3 linked regions of the Arabidopsis thaliana genome follow. The protein of the gene in region 1 interacts with the protein of each later gene in a pairwise test. Each region holds a gene or a part of one and is shown in the gene's direction. Other genes may lie near its edges.

Region 1 (7,725 bases):
TGACTCCAATTATGAACCTCATATGTGAATGTGGCCGAGGAGATGCCAAATTTTCAAGAATCTCCTCTTTCTACAACGCTATTTACAAACAAAAGCAAACACTAGTTTTACATTTACAGTCCATACTTATCGACTCGTAAAAAACAAAACAAGAAAAATACAAAATTATCATCTTATTCTTACCTTGTGTTTGAGTTCCCTAATTCCACCAATACTCCTCACTTTAACGTTATGGAATCCGTAGAAGAGAAGGAAAATGCAATCGGTTCAACCGGCAGAAAAGACCGGACCAGAATGTTGAGTAGTGGAAACAATGGGTCCGACGATTAGAGAAGCAAACAAAAACCCTCTTCGACAAAATTTAATTCAACAAATACTGTCATCCATATCTTTTCTTTTCATGTACGTTTGATTATACACGTAAAAGACTTTTGCGTGGTGTAATGAGATGGAACACGTGGCAAGACAGCATGCACTCGCACATGTACTTAGTCAGACAGATTTCGTTGTCTTTGAACTGTGCTCGTGTTTTCTCGCATTTCCGCACGTGGTCTCAAGTCAACCATTATCCACTTCAACTCCTACGATTTTGTTTCTATATCACTACCTCCATACATATAACCAAATTTTGAATGTTACTATTAGATCGTGTTGTGAATCTTGCATTCAAGCTTCTTGGACTTGCCTCTAACAATTCACTCTTCATGGATTCCTCCCGTCGAGTTCCATTTTCACGACATGATGATAAAGGAAAACATGTTGACAGATAAACTGAAGAGTAAATATATAGTTATATTTTGGTTTTCCAAAGAAAATAAAAATTAGTCAAATTTTTGTTTTTTTCTTTGATGTGCAGTGTTAGAATTTCTTCCTTCCAAATAACTTAACTCGGAATATTATTGAGAGGCTATAGACAAGCAAACTAGTGTCGGCCTTCCTTGATGTTTAAGGTCCCAATCTAGAGCAATGAAAAACAAGACAACTTTTTTGAGAAAAATTCAATCTGCCTTTATAAATCGTCTTTTTTGGTTACTTGGATCTGTTACGTTTCTACAATGAACCAAATTAAACAACTATGGTGTTTTCATTAAGCAAACTAAACAACTACAGCTATATAAGTGGAGATATGGAAAGGGGTCATGTTCCTACATTCCAGAACAAAGGATCATATCTTTATTACTGTGAAAGAAATGACAATTTTTTAAATAAATAAAATGTAATTTCTTCAATTTTGTTTTTTGTAATTTTACAATGAGTGCAACATTTTAGTAAATGTTTTTATGCTATTATACAAATCAAACGAGAATATTAAAATGACATAGTCACGAAATCAAATTTATTGAGAGTAAGCTTGATAAATCAAATTTAGAACTAACCAAATCTTTGACTTTCTTATTTGCTCTCACATTCCTGAACAGTTAGATCAATCGTACTCTCCAACTTTTCTACGCACAAAATTTAAAAATTTGATAGTTTTTCTTTTCATTAAATAAAAGACGAGAAACGGTTATATTTGCCTGAGTAGAAACCGCCGATAACAACAAAGTGGAAAATATGGCTAGTTTGTATTTTTAAGTAATTTCTCGATTTAATTTACTTAGGACAAAAATGTATTTATAGAGAAATCGTGCTTTTATTTATTTATTGAGAAGATTCTTTTTTGTTGTTTTGTAAATATTTATTTAACATTTTTATTGGTACAGTGACTTATGTTTTACAATATAAAGGATTTATAAAAATAAAAATTATTTTTCTTTGTCTCTTAAATATGGATATACCCAAATATCATTTTCCATAAAAATTCGGTGTTATCCAAATCTCAAAACCCTATTTTTCATAGATGTTTTTGTTTCTCTTATAAATTCATCACTGAATCTCTCATGCTCACCATTAATTCTCAGCAATAAAAACAAAGAATGAACGATTCAATGAAAGCTCCAAAATTCTTTAAAAACCAGCTAAAACTAGCGGAAGCACATTATCAAAGAGGTAATCTAAAAGGAGCCATTGAAATCGTGAATGACTTAACGTTTGGTCACCCAAACACATCTTCAAACCACCATGAGATCTCACAGATTCTCCTCGCCTATCAAATCAACTTGACTAGCCAAAAAGCCAGTTTCACACACTACGATATCTTGAGAATCTCAAATCCGTTCTGTAGCCATCAGATGATTCAAAGAAAGTACAGAGACATCTTGGTTAAGCTCTACCCCGACACAAATAAATCTATTGCCGCCAAATCAGCTTTCGAGATTATTAATTATGCGTGGAAGATCTTGTCCGATCCTGAAAAACGAAAAGATTACAATATCAAAAAAAGGTTTAAGTGAAGATGATTCATGTCTCCAGAAGATCATGAACCACATCAAACAGTGAGGCAAGGGTTTCATGTCTTTCTTGGGAATTGGAATACAAAACCTATTTGTTCTTCTTCTTTTTTTAGGTTAATTTTATGATTTTATTTTATTTTATCTAGGTATTAATTCCAAGTAAACTTGTGACAGTTTGAAAGTGCTAATGGATATTTTTACAAACTTTTTTTGAATTTATTTAAATGCAAAATTTACAGTTTTGCTGCCATAATAATTATGATTTGATAAGAAAAGTTACGATTCTAGTAGAGTTTGCTTTTCGTTGGAATAACGTGATTATATTTATTTTATTTTAATACAAGATAATTACATATAATGATATAATATGTTGCGAAAAAAGTCTCTGATTCTTGGGAGAAAAGATTCGAAAAGAAGGAAGGATCCAACAAAATCCGAAATTATTATTAACTGAAAAAACAAAAATTTTGCGCCAGCGTGGCAATACTTCTCTGTCAGGAGGAAGGATCCAACAACCAATAAAACTCCGACCCGGATCCGAACCCGAAAGCACCAGACGACTCGTCCTCCACGATCCCAATTTCTCCAATTTCAATTTTGCCAAAGAGCGAGAGAGAAGGAAGAAGATCCAGACGAAGTGGTTTGCCTTCAGGGAACGAGAGAGAGAAAGAGATTTTAACAAACGATGTCGCTGAGGCCGAGCACACGCGCGGAGCTAAGGAAGAAGATATACAAGACAGGCGTCGATGCCGATGAGGCCAGGCGGAGGAGAGAGGACAATCTCGTCGAGATTAGGAAAAACAAGCGTGAGGATAGTCTTCTCAAGAAGCGTCGTGAAGGAATGATGCTTCAGCAGCAGCTGCCTCTCGGAGCTGGCCTTGATGGTCCCCAGACCGCTGCCGCCGTTGAGAAACGAGTAAGTTCCCTTTGATCTGAATTTCGATACAATTGTGCGTGATTTTGTGATTTGGATCACATGATTTGATTATTTAGTGATGGATCTTTGTTTGATTGTTGAAAAAAGTGAGGCTTTGATTCTGTTTCCTACCTCAATTCTAGATCTCAGCTCCCAATCTCATAATTGACCATCAAAGTTTAGTTTTTTGTTTTTGGGAATTTGTTTATGGATATTTGGGATTGATAGCGGATCCTGGATGACCATGTATGCTGATCGCAATGTATAGTGTGCTTTAGTTAGATATCGGAATTTCTATCTTCTGATCCGATGATCTTGTCAATGGATTGGATGTGTTACATTTCTAGCCAAGGAGAGGTTTTCGTTTCTGTGGAAACAACTGTTTGATTACGTTCATGTGCTTTTGACAGTTAGAAGGTATCCCAATGATGGTACAAGGTGTTTATTCTGATGATCCTCAAGCTCAGCTAGAAGCGACTACCCAATTTAGAAAGTTGTTATCTATAGGTAGGTATACATTTGTTCCTTTCAGAAGCAATTTTCTGTTCTGGGGTTGTATGTGTGTAATAGACTTCTGATGGTTGCTTGTAACACGGTTTGATAAACAGAGCGTAGTCCTCCAATTGATGAAGTGATCAAAGCTGGGGTTATCCCTCGATTTGTGGAGTTTCTTGGAAGGCATGACCATCCTCAATTGCAGGTATGTCTTGTACTTCTTTCATTTTTAGATTTGTTCTTTATTAATTGCACCTTGAAGACTCAAGAATAGTTTGGTGGCTTAATGAAAAGTTTGTTTGCAGTTTGAGGCTGCATGGGCTTTGACCAATGTTGCGTCAGGAACATCAGATCATACTCGGGTTGTAATCGAACAGGGGGCGGTTCCTATCTTCGTTAAGCTTCTTACATCTGCTAGTGATGACGTTCGAGAGCAGGTTTGCCACTAACTAGCTAGATAACTGCGTGCTTCCATTTTGTATATGTGACCTGGTCCACCTGGATACATGCCTCTAAGTTCCGTGGTCGTATTTGGTTTGTTTGTTGTTTGTTTTGATCCTTAGTGGTTTTTCGTGATATAGTCAGCCAACTGCTTTTCCGTAGTCATAGGTGCTATAACTTTTTATGGCTTCGTACAAACCCTTACATGATATCATTGTAGGCGGTGTGGGCCTTGGGAAATGTTGCTGGGGACTCTCCAAACTGCAGGAATCTTGTTCTCAACTATGGGGCCCTTGAGCCATTGCTGGCTCAGTTAAATGAAAATTCTAAGTTGTCCATGCTAAGAAATGCTACATGGACCTTGTCCAACTTTTGTCGTGGTAAACCACCAACACCATTTGAACAGGTATGACTACAGGAATGGCTTCTCTTTGATTTTTCTGGACAACTTATGATTGATGGTTCTAGTTTATTTATTTATTGTTATTATTATATTTGTTTCGTTGTGTTCCTTACTTTACTCAAGCCTAGTGTTGGTTATTCATATGTTTCAGGTGAAGCCTGCGTTGCCAATTCTTCGGCAGCTTATCTATCTGAATGATGAAGAGGTTCTCACTGATGCTTGCTGGGCTCTCTCCTACCTTTCAGATGGCCCCAATGATAAGATTCAGGCTGTGATTGAGGCAGGTGTCTGTCCACGACTTGTGGAGCTTTTGGGGTTAGTTCTTTTTTTCCTGACCAATAATTGACTAGACATTATTTTTGTTTATTTCTCATCATATTTAGTCTCTCTATAAAAGTTTGTCTATCTCAATAAAGGTGTTGGTATCTTCAAATTTGTGATGCTTTTTGAGTATCTTCTGGCAACTGAATGTTGATGTTCTTACTATCTCATATTCTTGTTCCTTTTGTTTATTTTTTTTTTCCTTGGTGCATCTATACTAATTAATATATCTTTCTTCAAGTCATCAATCACCTACGGTTCTCATTCCTGCTCTTCGAACTGTTGGGAACATCGTAACTGGTGATGACTCTCAGACACAGGTATGATTTATGACGAACGACTATTTATGTTGTTTTGGGTATTTGTTTTGAGATTTTGACTATGACTGTGTCTTTGCTTGTCAGTTTATAATTGAGAGTGGCGTACTACCACACCTTTATAATTTGCTGACGCAAAATCACAAGAAAAGTATAAAAAAAGAAGCTTGTTGGACTATCTCGAATATTACTGCTGGGAATAAACTTCAGATAGAGGTATGCGGTTTTTTTGTTGCTATCTCTAATATGTCAAGAAGACGGCTGTTCATGGAAGATATTCATTTCTGATTCTGGAAGAAAAGTGAAGAAGTTACTCTTTTCTTAACTTTTTAGTAGAGCGAGCTAATTTTAGTACTTTCATATTTTCCAATGACTTCTCTGCCTAGAAACCTAATTATACCCTATTTGCTACTGAAAATATTGAGATTAATTAAAGTTTCAGAGGCTAAAAGCAATTTTTTAATCAGTTTATATATTTGAAACAATAGGCTGTGGTTGGCGCTGGAATAATCCTCCCTCTTGTGCACTTGCTCCAAAACGCGGAGTTCGATATAAAGAAGGAAGCTGCTTGGGCTATTTCCAATGCCACATCAGGAGGGTCACATGAGCAGATTCAGTATGTCATCTCTATTCTGAAGCGCATTTGCAAACAACTAACTTCACTTCATAGTGTTCCTTCTTAGTCTTATACCATTATCTATCTCGAAATCGAAAAATGCCATAACACAGTTTTGCATGCAGATATTTGGTGACCCAAGGCTGCATCAAACCACTTTGTGATCTTCTAATCTGCCCTGATCCAAGGATCGTGACAGTGTGCCTCGAGGGTCTTGAAAACATTCTCAAGGTTGGTGAGGCTGACAAGGAAATGGGATTAAACAGTGGGGTGAATCTCTATGCTCAAATAATAGAAGAATCTGATGGGTTGGACAAAGTCGAAAACCTTCAATCCCATGATAACAACGAGATATATGAGAAGGCCGTTAAGATATTGGAGAGATATTGGGCTGAAGAAGAGGAAGAACAGATTCTGCAGGACGGCGGGAATGACAATTCACAACAGGCTTTCAATTTTGGGAACAATCCCGCTGCTCCCGTTGGTGGATTCAAATTTGCCTGAAAAAGGTATACAGTAGTACAAATTGAAATCCTTTGGTTTGGGAAACATGAGATTCAGCTTTTGCAACTGTTATTGACAATTGCCAGGTTCAAGTTCGACTTTTTGAGTTCTGGTGCAAAAAGGCTTATTTTTCTGTTTTTTTTTCTTTTTGTTGTTGATGTTGTCCTTATTTGTCTGAATCATTCTCTGATTCTGTATCTTAAACTCTGCTATGAATTATGTGTAGTGTGGTTTCTGGTTTAGGATATGGTACACTTTGTATTTGTCACTTTAATCTTTGTCGTCGTTATAGTTTAATAACTTTTACTTGGCAAGAGTACAAGTACAAGAAATATTTGATTGCAAAAGAGTCTTCTTGTCTTGTTAATAAAGTCCTCAAATGAATTGGTAAAGGAAAGCTTTAATCTCATCAATATAAGGAGACTTTGTAGGAATGATGTGGCCAAAATCGTGCTCAACAATGGTGGCGCAACCATCTTCAAACAACCCCGCCAGGTCTGAGCTGGCTTGAGTCACAATTTGTCTGTCTTTTCCAGGCTGACTTCCGAATATGTGAAGTGAAGGGCATTTAATCGATCGTTTCTCCTTCATCTCCAACAATGGCCACGGTGTGAAACCCGAGCACAACACGCAGAATCTGAAGTCTATTTCACCTACGAGCTGCTCCTGTTTCCCACATACAGCCGCAGCCATTGCTGCACCTTGAGAGAATCCGAGAATGCCATCAAAAGGCCCTTTCTCTTCAAATGCCGTCTTCAAGTATGTCAACGATTTATCAAACCCTTCAGTTTGAGTCTGATACTGCAATGGATCGAACTGGCATTGGGCCACTGTCCAGCCTGTTTCACTCGGTTTATCAAAATCTGATGACACCAACCACGCAAACTTCTTATTGCATACTCCGGATGGAGGGGTAGCAGTTTGGTAGATGAACTGTAATTCGTGTGGTGCATCGATGAACACAAGCTCGGCAATATTCTTCAGTTTCTTTGCTAGTGATCCGGTCCTCCCTTTAAAGCTAGACGCGTTCTGCCTAAATCCATGCAAGCACAAGATCCTCAGCTTCCGTCTTGTATTGTCACCTGACCATAGAAGTGAATTGACAAAGTTTTCAGGGGAAAAGGGACTAGAGAATTTTGAAAAATCCTCTGATGTTTTAAACATTTGATCCAAAAATGAACAAACAGACCTTACCATTGCTTTCAGAAGGTTGGTTTAAGGGATCAAGACTCAAAGGGACTTCCCCTTTTCCGTGTTTACGACACAGCTCACATATATATATATCTCCTTTAACCTGCAATAGCACATCATAAGTCCAAGATACACAATCCTTATGGAGTTGATCAACAAAAGTGGTCTGGGTGCATTACCCGACAATG
Region 2 (9,120 bases), on another chromosome or scaffold:
GCGTGTGGATGAGTTTTATCACCCACGAAGAACGTAGTAGTTCCTTTAATTCCTTCAACCCAACTACAACCAGGTCTTTTCTTAACTCCTTTATGTCTCATCAATGATCTGATCCTAGTCACATCTTTCCAACGCCCTGCATTTGCATACAAATTTGAGAGTAATGTATATGATCCATCATGATTAGATGCTAATTCTGTTATTTTTTCCGCAGCGTACTCCCCGAGTTCAACTTTTCCGTGGATTCTGCAGCAACTGAGAAAAGCAACCCATACCACAGGAGGAGGCTCCATTGGCATTTCTTCAATGAGACGCAAAGCTGCATTCAACCGGCCAGCACGACCTAACAAGTCAACCAAACATGCATAATGCTCCGGACCAGGACTAACCCCAAAAACAGTTTTCATTCTATTGAAATACTCCATGCCCTGATCAATCATTCCTGAATGACTACAAGCATATAATACAACAAGTAATGTAACACCATCAAGCTTAAAACCTATTCTCCTCATTTCATCAAAGATTCCAAGAGCTTCTTCTCCATAACCATGCATACCATAACCCGTCATTAGAGATGTCCAAGTAACTTCATTTTTCGCCATCATATTGTCAAATACAAGGCGGGCATCACTGATGCTTCCACATTTTGCATACATGTCTATTAGACAGTTTGATACGAACAGCGGTACTGCATTCTGCTGGTTGCGCAACGCATAAGCATGAATCTGCTTGCCAATTCTTAGTGCAGCCAAACTGGCACATGCCACGAGGGCACATGATATGGTAAAAGCATTTGGTCTTGTTTGGCAATCTTCCTCAAACATCTCAGATAAAAGTTCGAGAGCTTTATTTGCATCCCCGTGCTGGGAGTATCCACCTATCATCACAGTCCAAGTCACAACATCCCTTTCCTTGGGGGAAAGTGAATCAAACATAGCACGTGCAGTATCAACCTTTTTGCACTTAGCGTACATGTCAATCAGTTGATTGATTACCATATTCTCATCACCATGACCGTTCTTACGCAAGTCTATGGGATATTTGATGGCATAACAATGAATCTCTTTACCATGCATCAATGCTCCAACAGAAGCACAACCCGAAAGAACCGAAATAAGCGTGACTTCATTTGGTTTTATCCCAGAAGACAACATCTGCCTACACACACCCAAAGCTTCATATCCAAGTCCCCGTTGAGCATACCCTGAAATAGCAGCACTCCAAGTAACAACATCCATTTTTATTTTCTCTTCCTGCATCTTCTCAAATAACCTAACAGCATCTTCAAACCTTCCAATCTGTGAATACCCAGCAACCATAGCATTCCAAGATACTACGTCCTTCACTGACATGTTCGAAAACACCGTGTTTGCCTCATCCATCATCCCACACTTTGCATACATATCCACCAAGCAATTCCCTACAAACATATTCTGTATCATCTCACTTGTGACTGCAAAACAATGCAATTGCTTCCCTAGTGAATGAGTTCCTAGGGAAGCACAAGGAGGAAGAACATTCACAAGGGTAATATTATCAGGTCTACATCCGAATTCATTGGTCATCCTGCTAAACATTTCAAGCGCCACCTTAGGTTTGCCTAACTTTGCATAACTTTCTATTATAGAGTTCCACGATACAACATCCCAAACAGACATTTCGTCGAACACCTTCCGTGCATCACTCAATGAACGACAACGGGAATACATAGCAACAAGCGCATTCCCAACAAAGACATTGGAGATAAATCCAGTTACCAGAGAAAGCGCGTGAGCAGATTCTCCACAACGAACGGAGGATATCTCGCCGCAAGCCTTGAAGACGAAGGGGAATGTGTAATTATCCGGCGTCCATGACAGAGAATGCATAAGGCCGAACAAATAGAGACATTTATTGGCGCAGCCATTGTCGCCGTAGCTGCGAATGAGTGAATTCCAATGGTAGACACCAGCGTCAGATGGAGGAAAACGACGGAGGAGAGATACGGCATGAGATAAGCAACCGACGGAGATATAGGTGGAAATGAGGTGGGAAGTGAGATTCAAGGTTAGGATTCCGAAAGAGAGGAGTTTCTGGTGAATAAGCTTGACCTGAGAGATGGTTTTGCATTTGTGAATAAACGGCGGTGTTATCTCCGGCGCCGATGTCGAGAAGAGAGAGACTTTAATGTACTGGTGAGATTTTGCGGCGGCGTTGGGGATGAGAAGGCGGCGGATCATACTACTGTAACTAGAGTGGCGGGTGATTTCTGCGTTTAAACTAAACAAATCAATTCGGTTATATCCCGGTTTTAGATTGGAAATTTGAAGAAAGTAATGAAACCGGATGTGAAAAGAAGAAGAAAGTATAATAGACCGATTAAAATTTAAAGCGAATTTCGGTTCGGTTTATGTGCTAAGCGACCTGCGTTTGCGGTTGAGTGGACGCTTTGGATAGCGTTTGTAGCTCAGCTTTGAATTGTTTTGAAATTTTCAAAATCGCAGTTTATAGTTTCGAGAACCCAGAAGACCTTTAATCTCCCGCCTCTTTCACACCATCAGACTCCATTATCGAAGCTCGTTCACTCTTCTCTCTCTCCAAATTCGAGAGAAAGGAGGAGGAAGGTGTAATGCCGCGTAAACCTAGACATCGTGTACCGGAGATTCTATGGAGGTTATTCGGAAACAGAGCCAGGAATTTAAACGACGCAATAGTAGATCTGATTCCTAACCGGAATATCCAGCCGGAGCAATGCCGATGCCGGGGTCAAGGTTGTCTCGGTTGCAGCAGCGATAAACCGGCGTTTCTGCTGCGTTCCGATGATCCCATTCACTACCGTAAACTTCTTCACCGTTGCTTCGTTGTACTTCACGAACAAACCCCTCCGCTTCTGGATTTCTCTCCAACATCTTGGTGGTCACAGAGAGAGGTAAGATTCTTCTTCCCACTGTACTATACATTGCTTTGAGTGCTTAATTTGAGATATTTCAAGACGTGGCTACTCCTTATAAAATGCCTCTATGTTATCTTATTTTGTATGATGTTGCTGATTTCTAAACATTTTGCTTCAATTGAGTTTATCAGATTGTTGAAAGGATTATTGAAATGATGCAATCTGGATGTGATTGCCAAAATGTGATATGTGCCAGATATGATAAGGTGAATTCTTCTTCTTCCTTCTCAAACTCAATGTAGAGTGCTGATTTTCTTAGCCTAATGATTTCTCGTCTCCTTTGACAGTATGATCAGTCGAGCCCTATTTTGGAGCTATTGACAAGTTCATCTTGGGAGTTTCTTCTCAAGCGGGTTTGTTCTCAAACCCTTTTGATGATTTACTTTCAATATTCGAGTTTGCGGTCACTAATATTCAAGTTCCCTTGTTTATAGGTCGGTCATGACGTCATGGTTTATCTTCTACAGCAAACATCAATATTCTTACCATTACTAGGGAAAAAACACCAGCAAGTGTCTGGACCTCCTCTATGTATCAAGCATAAGCGTGAGTCTCAGAATTAAACTTGTATCCGAGCTCTTCTGTTGGCTTTCTTTTGAAACTTCCACTTTCTTGTTGGTTCTCTGAATACTTATGATTTGTCTGTGACTGCTTGGTTATCGATTATCAACTTCTGGTTTTTAGTTCATATTAACTTAGTAAAGTTTTCCTTCTCCATGGTATAGGGACATTGTCAGTCCATGAAAACAAAAGAAAGAGGGATGACAACGTTCAGCCACCAACGAAAAGGCAGTGGCTTTCTTCAGCTGTCGATGACTGTCCTAAGGATGACTCTGCAACTATTACGCCCATAGTTGGCGAGGATGTAGACCAACATAGAGAGAAAAAAACTACTAAGCGTTCAAGAATATATCTTAAGCGTCGGCGAAAGCAGAGAAAGGTCAATTTCAAAAAAGTTGACTGTAATGCTCCTTGTATAACTCCCAGTACAAATGGTAAAGTCTCAACTGGTAATGACGAAATGAATCTGCACATTGGTATAAATGGAAGTCTCACTGATTTTGTAAAGCAGGTAATGTTCGTAACAATGATATTGATCAATCAAGTTTAAGTTGAAAATGCACAAGTTTAAACATAAAGTTATTGCTTAAAATTACTAAGAGACGTGTATAAATTGCTCTTGATTTATCCTCAGCCTTGAGAAATTGATGGGACTATTTTTGTAGTTGTACTTTGGTGTATTTTAAAAACTGTATCATTTATCTTGTTGTATTCTGGTGGTTATTAATATTCTTCCTGACACTTCATTACCTTCAAATTCGACAATCTGTTCTTGTATTTGTAAGATTTAATCACTGTTTTTTGTAGGCTAAACAGGTTAAAAGAAACAAGAATTTCAAGTTTGGCCTCTCAGAAACGTATTCAGTTATACCACCAAACCGTATCCTTCAGTGGTTTTGACATGTTCAATGACTTGTAGCAACGATAGCTTGATGGAAGTTTAAACGTTACTCTTCTCTATACAGTTCTTCTGCATTGTGAATGATTCCTTATGATATACAGACATTTTAAAAACCTTGAGGCCCAACTGCTCTGATTCAAAGCTCCTAATGAACCATATATTTGGTGAAGTAAATGTTTGGTCAACGACGCCATCTCATGGCAAAGGCAATTGCCCCAGTGGATCTATTTGCTTGTAAGTCATCCATTTATTCTTGTAAGTTCTTCGGCTTACTCTGAGACTTGGAGCATGTATTCAGATAATGTAGAGCACATATCTAAGTAGTCTGAGTTATAAAAGGAATTTGTTTAAAAGTTTTGTTGAGGTAACTGATGCAAAGAAGAAAATGATATCATGATGTCTTTTACATTGATTTGCAGATACCATTCATTGCTCAAGTCTCTTAAAAATCTAATAGGAAAAACAAAGTCTTCACATTTAAAAATGCTACTAGACAAACACTGTCCTGTTCTCTTGCTGCAAGAGGATGCATTGAAGTCCGGAACGACTTCTCAGGTTGATATTTTTCTTTTAGAGATGGTTTTCATATTTAATTTCCCTAGCGTTTTTCGTTTGATGTCTTTTGAGTATTTCTATTTCAGAGAAGTTATGTTGAATATTCGAATATGTACAACAAAAAGAAACTAGAAATGGAAAATCAACACAGTTGCTACTTTATAGACTTTGGATATATAGTGCAAACCTGCATAAGAATTCATATCCGTGGCACTTCCAAGTGCTTCCTTGAAGTGACGAACCTTGCATATCTTGTATTACAGAGTTCAAGGAGGCAAAAAGCAGATAAGCTGCCTCATGGATCAAGTTCATCACAAACGGGAAAACCCAAATGTCCCAGTGTTGAAGAAAGGAAGCTGTATTGCACGAACGACCAAGTAGTTTCCTTTATTTGGGCCATCTGTAGGTACATTGTTCCAGAAAGTTTGCTTGGGACCACTCATCAGATGAGGGTGCTTAGGAAAAATATAGCGTGGTTTGTTTCAAGGCGACGAAATGAGAAATGCACAGTGAATCAGTTTTTGCATAAAGTGAAACCATCAGATTTCCCATTCTTTGCTAGAAAAGAGTTATGCTGTATGGTCAACGGACATGAACTCCAAAGTGAATCCATCAGAAGTACACAGCAGATGTTGTGCACGAAATGGATTTCTTGGCTTTTTTTAGAGATTGTCAAGAAATTGGTGCACTTCAACTTCTATGCCACTGAAAGCCAAGGAGGACGGCTAAATATTTATTATTACCGGAAAAGGAGCTGGGAAAGATTAATAAGCAAAGAAATTAGCAAAGCCCTTGATGGATATGTCCTAGTAGACGATGCTGAAGCTGAAAGTAGCAGGAAGAAGCTATCAAAGTTTAGATTTTTACCAAAGGCCAATGGTGTGAGGATGGTGTTAGACTTTAGTTCTTCGTCAAGGTCGCAATCTCTTCGTGATACACATGCTGTTTTGAAGGACATCCAGCTCAAAGAACCAGATGTTCTTGGGTCTTCTGTCTTTGACCATGATGATTTCTACAGAAACCTATGCCCATATCTGATCCATTTAAGAAGTCAATCTGGAGAACTTCCTCCTTTGTACTTTGTGGTTGCGGATGTATTCAAAGCATTTGATTCAGTCGACCAGGGTAAGCTGCTTCATGTCATTCAAAGTTTTCTGAAAGATGAATACATCTTAAACAGATGTAGGCTGGTCTGCTGTGGGAAGAGATCCAATTGGGTAAACAAAATACTAGTCTCGAGTGACAAAAATTCTAACTTTTCAAGATTCACATCAACTGTTCCATATAATGCACTGCAAAGTATCGTGGTTGATAAGGTATGCTTCTTTTTGACCTAGAGCTTTTTGATCTTTTTGCAGAGGGTAAAATACAAAACTATTGGACTACTTAAAAAAATCTCTAGAGATCTCTTTTCTTAGTGCTTGTAGCGTCCCTGTTGTTCTTTACTTATTTGCTTAACGGTGTTATGGTTTTGGTCCAACCTTCTAGGGAGAAAACCATCGAGTGAGGAAAAAGGATCTAATGGTTTGGATAGGAAATATGCTAAAGAACAACATGCTGCAGTTGGATAAAAGCTTCTATGTACAAATAGCTGGAATACCTCAGGGACACAGATTATCATCCTTGTTATGTTGTTTTTACTACGGGCATCTCGAGAGGACTTTGATCTACCCATTCCTCGAAGAAGCCTCTAAAGATGTGTCTTCTAAAGAATGCAGTAGAGAGGAAGAGCTTATAATTCCCACGAGCTATAAGTTACTGAGATTTATTGATGACTACCTTTTTGTGTCTACCTCAAGAGATCAGGCGAGTAGCTTCTATCACAGGTTGAAGCATGGATTTAAAGATTACAACTGCTTCATGAACGAAACAAAATTCTGCATAAATTTTGAAGATAAAGAAGAACATAGGTGTTCTTCTAATAGAATGTTTGTGGGAGATAATGGAGTTCCTTTTGTCAGATGGACGGGTTTGCTTATTAATTCCCGCACATTTGAAGTTCAAGTTGACTACACAAGGTCTGCCTCATCTCCTGTATGTTTCCTTCATAAGTATACTTGTTTGGCTCTGTTTCCTCAGCTTTTATTTATAATTTTGCCTCAAATTCATGGAAACAGGTACTTGAGTGGCCATATAAGCTCAACTTTTTCTGTAGCTTGGCAGAACAAACCAGTTAGAAATCTTCGGCAAAAATTGTGTTACTTCTTGGTTCCGAAATGTCATCCAATTCTATTTGACTCGAACATCAACTCGGGAGAAATCGTCAGGTTAAACATCTATCAGATCTTTCTGTTGGCTGCAATGAAGTTTCACTGTTATGTCTACGAGGTGTCCCGGTTTTGGAAGCTTCATCCTCAAACTTTGTTCAAATTCATCACAATATCTGTCAGGTATGGAATCAAAACTACATCATATGTCTGTGAGCATTTCGGTTTTTGGATCATTCTGATTTGAGTTATTCGGTCTTTTTTTGCTTATTCGGTTCTTGATTTCTTTCCAACTGATAGGTACATGTTCAGACTCATAAATAGAAGGGTGCGCAGAATCAACACTGGTTCTAGTTTCAGACCAGTTCTTAAACTATACAAAGAAGAAGTGATATGGCTTGGCTTAGACGCTTATATTCAAGTTCTGAAGAAGAAAAACTCGAGATATCGAATGCTCTTGATCTATTTAAAATCTGCACTTTCTAAACACTCTCTTTCTCAGCAGCTATCGTCGGAATTGAGGTATGCAACAGACCGGTCAAACTCTTCTTCGCTGTGGAAGTTGAATTATTGAAACTGATCTTAACTAGATTTTATCATCGAAACTTAGGTAGATCCTTTAAATTTCTATTTCAGTCATTTTGATAATCTAGGAACAAAATGGATTTGTAACATTTAGGGTAAAGAAAGATTTAAATGTCAACTTATTAAATATGTATATTGGAAAAAACCCAAACTATAGTCTAATAGTGGTAGGGAAAATCCAGGCATAGCTTATATGGTACATCCCAAAGACCAAACCAGATTTCCAACTTCCATGTCAAAGAAACCAACAAGGAGAAACAAAGGAAACTGTTTAACTTGATGATATTAGTTCTTCGAGTATTCGGACGAATGAATCGGAGAATACCCTTCTGGCAGTTGCTGCTGCGACTGTGCTGGTTGCGATGGTTGCTCAGCTTCAACCTTCTCTTTTGTTTTCTGTCCAACCTCTCCAGCTGCTTGAGCCACTCTATTGAATGCTCCTGCGGCCCAGCTCACACCAGTTAACACGTAACGGTTCTTCATCACAGCGCTTCCTGCACTGCTCACAGTCTGCTCCGCAGCTGCATACACAGACTTGGTCCTCTCTGTTACCTGAAAGTTTTGGTCCACCGCCTTGATTTTTTCGTTCACCAAGCTTGTTCCAGCTGTAAGTTTCTGGCTAAGACCGATTTTTTGGTCTAGTGAAGCAACTCCTGCGGTGGCGGTTGAGGTGAAACCATGTTTCTCATCAAAAGCTTTTGCTTTGCCGACAGCATCTTTCCCAAGAATGAAACCCTTTGCTAACATGCTGCTCACAACATCTTCTGCCTTCTGGACAACAGATTCTGCACCGCTGCTCTGTGTTTCCTGAGAAAATTAACACAAATTAACACCTCTACGAAATTACTGCTCTATTGAGTGTTGAGATGAATACTTTTCACTAATCAAAAAGAAGAAAAACAGTATGAAGAAGACATTACAGCATGAGGGGCTGCTGGTGGACTGTAGTTGGGAGCCAACTCAATGATGACTGATTGATCGGCAATACTCGCTCCCTGAAATAACACCCCTTGTTAGTAATGCAAATTGCAAATGGTCCCAAATATTAGTTGTAAGCAAACTAATTTTACTTATAAATACTCAGAGATACTTTGTCTGGACTAGAGAAGTATAACCATATTAAACGAAGGTTTATAGACATGGATTGATTACTAAATTAACAGTGTTATGTAAGAGTTGAATGCTACTACAATAATATTGAGATAAGAGTGAACCCACAGATAAGAGCACAGCAGTCTCTGCTCCTTGAGTTTCTTTAAATGTGACATAAGCACTATGCTCGTTACTGCTAGTTAGAAAAAGAAAACAAAAACAAAGCTCAGAGTCAGTAAGTTTAAGAGAACTGTATCTAAATTTGCTGAGAAAAAGCTTCGGAAGTT
Region 3 (5,386 bases), on another chromosome or scaffold:
ATGCAAACCACAACGAGGCTCAAACAACCAAAACCTGTTTTCAAATCCATGCAATTATGGTTTCATGTCACTGAGGTAAGAAAGATGAAGGCTACGTTAGGGATCAGTATCATAAGTTCAGCATTCCAACAAAGATCACTGACTACTTCAGCATTTCAACAAAGGAAACTACAGAATTCTGTGTTCCAGATATCAATTTATTGAATTGCATTCTAACGAAGATGAAAACAGTGAAAAGGCTGTCCAATCTTGTTATTTTATCGAGTTAAAGGTGAGCCAGAACTAAAATAAAACAAAAATAATATTTGGCTTACTTGCTTGGTGGTAACTTCGCTCTACTGCATCTACATTCACAAATGGAAACCTTTTCCCCAATTTTGTACCAGTGCAAATGTCTCACCTGTAGAGTGTGGATGAAGAATTTTCATACATGCCTATTCCATCAAATAACTAGCGGATCATATCTCTATATGCATCACAGAACAATTCCCCGAAAAAGTACACGTTGTAATTTGCGAAAGGTACATAAAAAGAAATGCTAGATCATATAAGTCACAAACCAGAAATGTCCTATGTTTCATTATCACATGAGTCTTAGCACCATTCCCATCATAGACATAACATGAACCTTCATCTGGGATTGTCCCAAGACCACTTATAGTTCCAACAAGAAGTCTGGCACCACTTTCATTTCCCGGAGGCGATTCAGTGCCATGATTAGATCCTTCATCTGAATTGAGGAAAACGTGTATAAGATCGTGATCACCCTCAATTTGTTTCTTTTCATGATACCCTTTTGGGGGAACCCTAATGGCTGTAGCAACAACTCTTCCAGATACATGCAGCTGAATATCTTTATACGCATCAGAAACATGGTTTTTACTTCTTGAAGATTGTATATGAGATATCTGAAGACCAATCCTTTCAGCAGACATCATGTCATTGTTGCCTTTCTCAACTGCTTGACCAAGGTCCGAATCCATAAACGACGACAAAGCCAATTTCTTTGAGCAAGCAGAAGAAAGCTCAAGGAAGTTATCAACCAAGGAAACCATACCAAAAAGATCCCGTCCTGATACCAAATGCAAAACCTCTCGTGTATCATACACAGACCTTTCCTCAGCTTCAAAACAATCAGGAAGAAGCTCAACAGATTCAACATCAGGCCCAAAGTAGGCCGCTCGTATAGCTGAATAAAAATCTTCTTCAAGTTCATCTAAGTAACCAGTACCATTTGCTACTCTCTTCTCCAATACTATATCATGTATTGCTTCTCTATACCACTTTAACCATTCAACTACTTCCATCTCTTGACTCAATGTCAATCCTGTTTTATACCTGTGAATCATATAACCTTGTCCCGAGTGCTTCTTCATTACCATTCTCCGAGATAGCAAATATCTATCATAGTGTGCTCTCTTTTCAGAATCTGATAGAATCTGTATCATCACCACAAATCATTCATCAGACACTTCTAAAGCTATAACTCTATCACAAAAGCTTGAAAAGCTTGAAATTTTCGATTTTGAAACTAATCATAAGAGTGAAGAGTGAAGCTTTCTTCATTGTACCTCATAAGCAGCGAGAATCTGAACGAATCGTCTCGAATTTGATGGATCTTTCTTGGATTCGATCAGATCAGGATGAGTCTCCTTGGCGAGTCTGCGAAATGATGCTTTGATCTCTGCGATTGAGCTGGTTTCGGAGACATTCAAGATATCGTAAGCGTTCTCCACCGGAAACTCGTTCCGATTGGACTCAGCCTCGCCGCTCAGCAACCGAGTTCTTCCTTGACTCGGGTTAAAGAGAATTCGCGACGGTTCGAAACCGTAATTCAGTTGAACCGGAACTAATCTACTAAAACGCCGGCGTATCAACCCGGCGAGAATCGTCATTTCACGACCAGTATGGTTTACTCAGGTGGGAACGGAGACCGGAAGTGGAAAGAGGATAACGGCACGCCGATGACACGTGGGTCTCTCGATTTCACGCCACGTCATCACGAGTTCAGACTTTATTGGTCAACAGTAAAAACGGTCTTAGGAAAGAGAGAACATGAAGCCATATTACACTAAATGGGCCTTGAATTTTAATGGGCCAGGATCCTCTCACAGATATTTTTGACTCTTAAAATGATGAGGAAGTGGATGTGAATACGTGGTCGTATACTCACCATGGCATTCCATGAATAATTAATGTCTTCTAACTTCTAAATGATCGAAAAGTACTGACAAGTTAAAGTCAAGCAGAAAAAAACAAATATTATGAGGTTTTTAGATGCTATATTCATTGCAAGTTGTATACATGCGAAATTTAACTAGTGTTGTTAAAATAATAATTATATCAGCTTTTGACTATTTGCTGCCACTCTTTGAATGATTGAAACTAATTTTCTTTCGCATTAATGCATTGTTGAAATTCATGCACAAAATTAAAAATAATTGGTTCATGTATTTGTAACCCAATGTAACAATTTTATTGTTGAACAGAAGTCAGTAACTCCACGTCATGTACTCCATTAAATGTTCCAAAATATTTTGGGCTTGATTCCAAAAAACAAATTATCACGAATAGCGATGTTTGACAATCCAACAAACATGGTTCCATTCACCTTTTTTTGCCACCTGTAAATCGCGATATTTTAAATAATTTATTTCCTCTTCCACAGATACGAATTTTTTTATAAAGAATAATACGTAACACTCTAAAACAACACAAATATCATAATTTCTCCACGAACTGACTAAGAGAGGTACCAAGAAGAAAACCAGAGAAGAATCTTCTTTAGAGAGATGGGTGTGGTAGAAGAAGCTCACAACGTGAAGGTGATTGGTTCAGGAGAAGCCACGATCGTGTTAGGTCACGGGTTCGGCACGGACCAGTCAGTATGGAAACACTTGGTTCCACATCTGGTCGACGATTACCGCGTCGTCCTCTACGACAACATGGGAGCCGGTACGACCAACCCTGACTATTTCGACTTCGATCGTTACTCAAATCTCGAAGGCTACTCTTTCGATTTGATTGCAATCTTGGAAGATCTCAAGATTGAGTCTTGTATCTTTGTTGGCCACTCTGTTTCTGCCATGATTGGTGTCTTGGCTTCTCTTAACCGTCCTGATCTCTTCTCCAAAATCGTCATGATCTCTGCTTCTCCGAGGTATAACTTTTTCACAAGTTGTACATAGAAATATGTTTTGCTTTTTATCTCATCCTGACATAGTTTAGACAAAAGGGCTTCTCTGTTCCTTCTCTTGTCTGATTTCATAAAAACTATTAAACATTACAATTTAAATAAAAAAAAATCATCTTAAGTCCTTAAATTTACACAATTATCTATTATTTCGAAATATTTATTTCTCATTCTGACATAATTTCGACAAAGTGCCTCTTTGTTTATCCTCTTGTCTGAATTATCCTATTTCTCAAAATCAGTGAAGCATTTCATTATATATTTCAATAAAAATCCGTAAATTATGAACAAAAAATCATGAAATACCCATTTGTTTATTTGTTTTTTTTTATTTGGTTTTACTGAGGTGTTACTTACACTTTTTTTAAAAAAAATTGTTGAAACGGTGCTCACACAGTATATTATATATTTTAATTTTCTTCTGACAAAAGAAACATATATAATCAAATTATATTGTTTTGGTACGTTTATAGATACGTAAACGATGTTGATTACCAAGGTGGATTCGAACAAGAAGACTTAAACCAACTATTCGAAGCCATCCGAAGCAACTACAAAGCGTGGTGCTTAGGTTTCGCTCCACTCGCCGTCGGTGGCGACATGGACTCCATCGCCGTTCAAGAATTCAGCAGAACACTCTTCAATATGCGTCCCGACATAGCTCTCTCCGTCGGCCAGACCATTTTCCAAAGTGACATGAGACAGATCTTACCTTTTGTCACTGTTCCGTGTCACATTCTCCAAAGTGTTAAGGACTTAGCTGTACCAGTCGTTGTCTCCGAGTATCTTCACGCCAATCTTGGCTGTGAATCCGTCGTCGAGGTTATTCCTTCTGATGGTCATCTTCCTCAGCTTAGCTCACCAGATTCTGTTATTCCTGTCATCCTCCGTCACATTCGTAATGACATTGCTATGTGATTGTAAGAGATTTAATTAGTTAATTATTAAACGATGTAAGAAAAGTTGAAAAAAAATATCTGATGTGATATGTCTGTCTAGTCTATTGAGAACATTATTTCGTTGTCGTTTGGTTCTGATTCGTTTATCTTGAGTATCTTGATCTTTGTTGTTCTTATCTTGTTTAACGAAAAGTCTCTGTCTTTTGTCCACAGCTTTGCTCAGAGCTCATTATTGCTTGATGTAATAGTGATGTTCGTAATTGATGGTCCATAGTGAATTATTGCAACTTTGCAAGAGTGCTTGTGCTATACTGTGTGAAGAGTAATTAACATGTGATACTAGGAATTAGCATTGAGTTTGCATTTATGGATGGGTAATCCAAACCATAAAACATACATATTGTGATGGTTTTGAAATTTGTTTGTTTGTGAACAAAAATTAGCCAAGTTTTAAACAAAGTAAAATGAAAATTTAGGGTTTTGAATTAGGATGGAGTTAAGTCATATTTTGTTAGGTTTGTTTGCTTATGAAATTATGGATTTGTTTGATGTTATTATAGGGATGCGGTGCAAAAGATATTGTTTTCTATATTATCATTTATCACTAATAACTTTCAAATTTTATTGACGCGCCTGCTCAGATTTTATTCGATTTGTTGTTTATGAAATTAGTTATAGATTGGTAAGTAAATAGCTTTAAAAAATTAGTGATACAAAACAAAATGGTAAATATTGTATTGCTTCTTACTAGTCAATACTATGATTAAACTTCCATTTTATAATTCACTTTATATAAAACTTCTATTTATTTTCTTAAAATTATTTTATTATTGAAATTTAAATATCATTTGGTACAATATTATTTCTTCATCACTAGTCAAATACTATGATTAGCCTACCCAAAAAAAAAGTCAAATACTATGATTAAACTTCCATTTTTTTAAAATTCATTGCAGGTCATACAATTTAAATGTTTACATAGTCATGAAAGAATTGAGAACATATATATACTTCAAATTTGTTCTCCAATACAGTCACACACCTAACTTCAATTTGCTTAGAATTTCTTTGGCAAGACGATTAACAGAGCTAGCCCATTGTAAAAGGGTAATAAATAATAAGTGGGCTAGGCCCATATATACACAACAAAAAGTCACGTGACAAGAAACTTCATACGTGTGCGACTCTTGCCCCAAAATTTGATTAGCACCACTTATTGAGAAGCAGCAGCAGCACCACAAGCACCACCACCAGTATCACATTCACATTCACCATCATCGTCTCTTCGCTCTTA

The links.
Region 2: the proteins of IMPA-4 (region 1) and TERT interact in a two-hybrid assay, tested with the Arabidopsis thaliana proteins (2 studies listed by BioGRID, with this or other methods).
Region 3: the proteins of IMPA-4 (region 1) and KAI2 interact in binary tests that used the Arabidopsis thaliana proteins (3 or more experiments, as listed by UniProt).

Annotation. Positions count from the first base shown.
Region 1 is NC_003070.9:2,991,488-2,999,212, forward strand, and holds IMPA-4 (importin alpha), read left to right. Parts: upstream 1-2,843; 5' UTR 2,844-3,018; coding exon 3,019-3,249; intron 3,250-3,659; coding exon 3,660-3,756; intron 3,757-3,857; coding exon 3,858-3,949; intron 3,950-4,049; coding exon 4,050-4,181; intron 4,182-4,405; coding exon 4,406-4,591; intron 4,592-4,739; coding exon 4,740-4,903; intron 4,904-5,150; coding exon 5,151-5,229; intron 5,230-5,313; coding exon 5,314-5,442; intron 5,443-5,714; coding exon 5,715-5,842; intron 5,843-5,967; coding exon 5,968-6,346; 3' UTR 6,347-6,351; exon of another isoform or gene 6,352-6,432; 3' UTR 6,433-6,721; downstream 6,722-7,725. Other genes in the region: AT1G09260 (Chaperone DnaJ-domain superfamily protein), read left to right, coding at 1,917-2,333; AT1G09280 (rhodanese-like domain protein), read right to left, coding at 6,722-7,428, 7,541-7,640, 7,717-7,725. UniProt on the Arabidopsis thaliana protein: Binds to conventional NLS motifs and mediates nuclear protein import across the nuclear envelope. Acts as a cellular receptor for the nuclear import of the virD2 protein of Agrobacterium and is essential for Agrobacterium-mediated root transformation.
Region 2 is NC_003076.8:5,536,933-5,546,052, reverse strand, and holds TERT (telomerase reverse transcriptase), read left to right. Parts: upstream 1-2,493; 5' UTR 2,494-2,608; coding exon 2,609-2,908; intron 2,909-3,063; coding exon 3,064-3,138; intron 3,139-3,219; coding exon 3,220-3,285; intron 3,286-3,366; coding exon 3,367-3,478; intron 3,479-3,657; coding exon 3,658-4,004; intron 4,005-4,300; coding exon 4,301-4,373; intron 4,374-4,495; coding exon 4,496-4,628; intron 4,629-4,813; coding exon 4,814-4,949; intron 4,950-5,212; coding exon 5,213-6,265; intron 6,266-6,437; coding exon 6,438-6,967; coding exon of another isoform or gene 6,968-6,983; intron 6,984-7,066; coding exon 7,067-7,339; intron 7,340-7,456; coding exon 7,457-7,730; 3' UTR 7,731-7,873; downstream 7,874-9,120. Other genes in the region: AT5G16860 (Tetratricopeptide repeat (TPR)-like superfamily protein), read right to left, coding at 1-2,219; BPA1 (binding partner of acd11 1), read right to left, coding at 8,027-8,548, 8,662-8,736, 8,960-9,029. UniProt on the Arabidopsis thaliana protein: Telomerase is a ribonucleoprotein enzyme essential for the replication of chromosome termini in most eukaryotes. It elongates telomeres.
Region 3 is NC_003075.7:17,615,770-17,621,155, reverse strand, and holds KAI2 (alpha/beta-Hydrolases superfamily protein), read left to right. Parts: upstream 1-2,499; 5' UTR 2,500-2,792; coding exon 2,793-3,160; intron 3,161-3,666; coding exon 3,667-4,111; 3' UTR 4,112-4,497; downstream 4,498-5,386. Other genes in the region: AT4G37480 (Chaperone DnaJ-domain superfamily protein), read right to left, coding at 1-34, 315-400, 561-1,439, 1,572-1,895.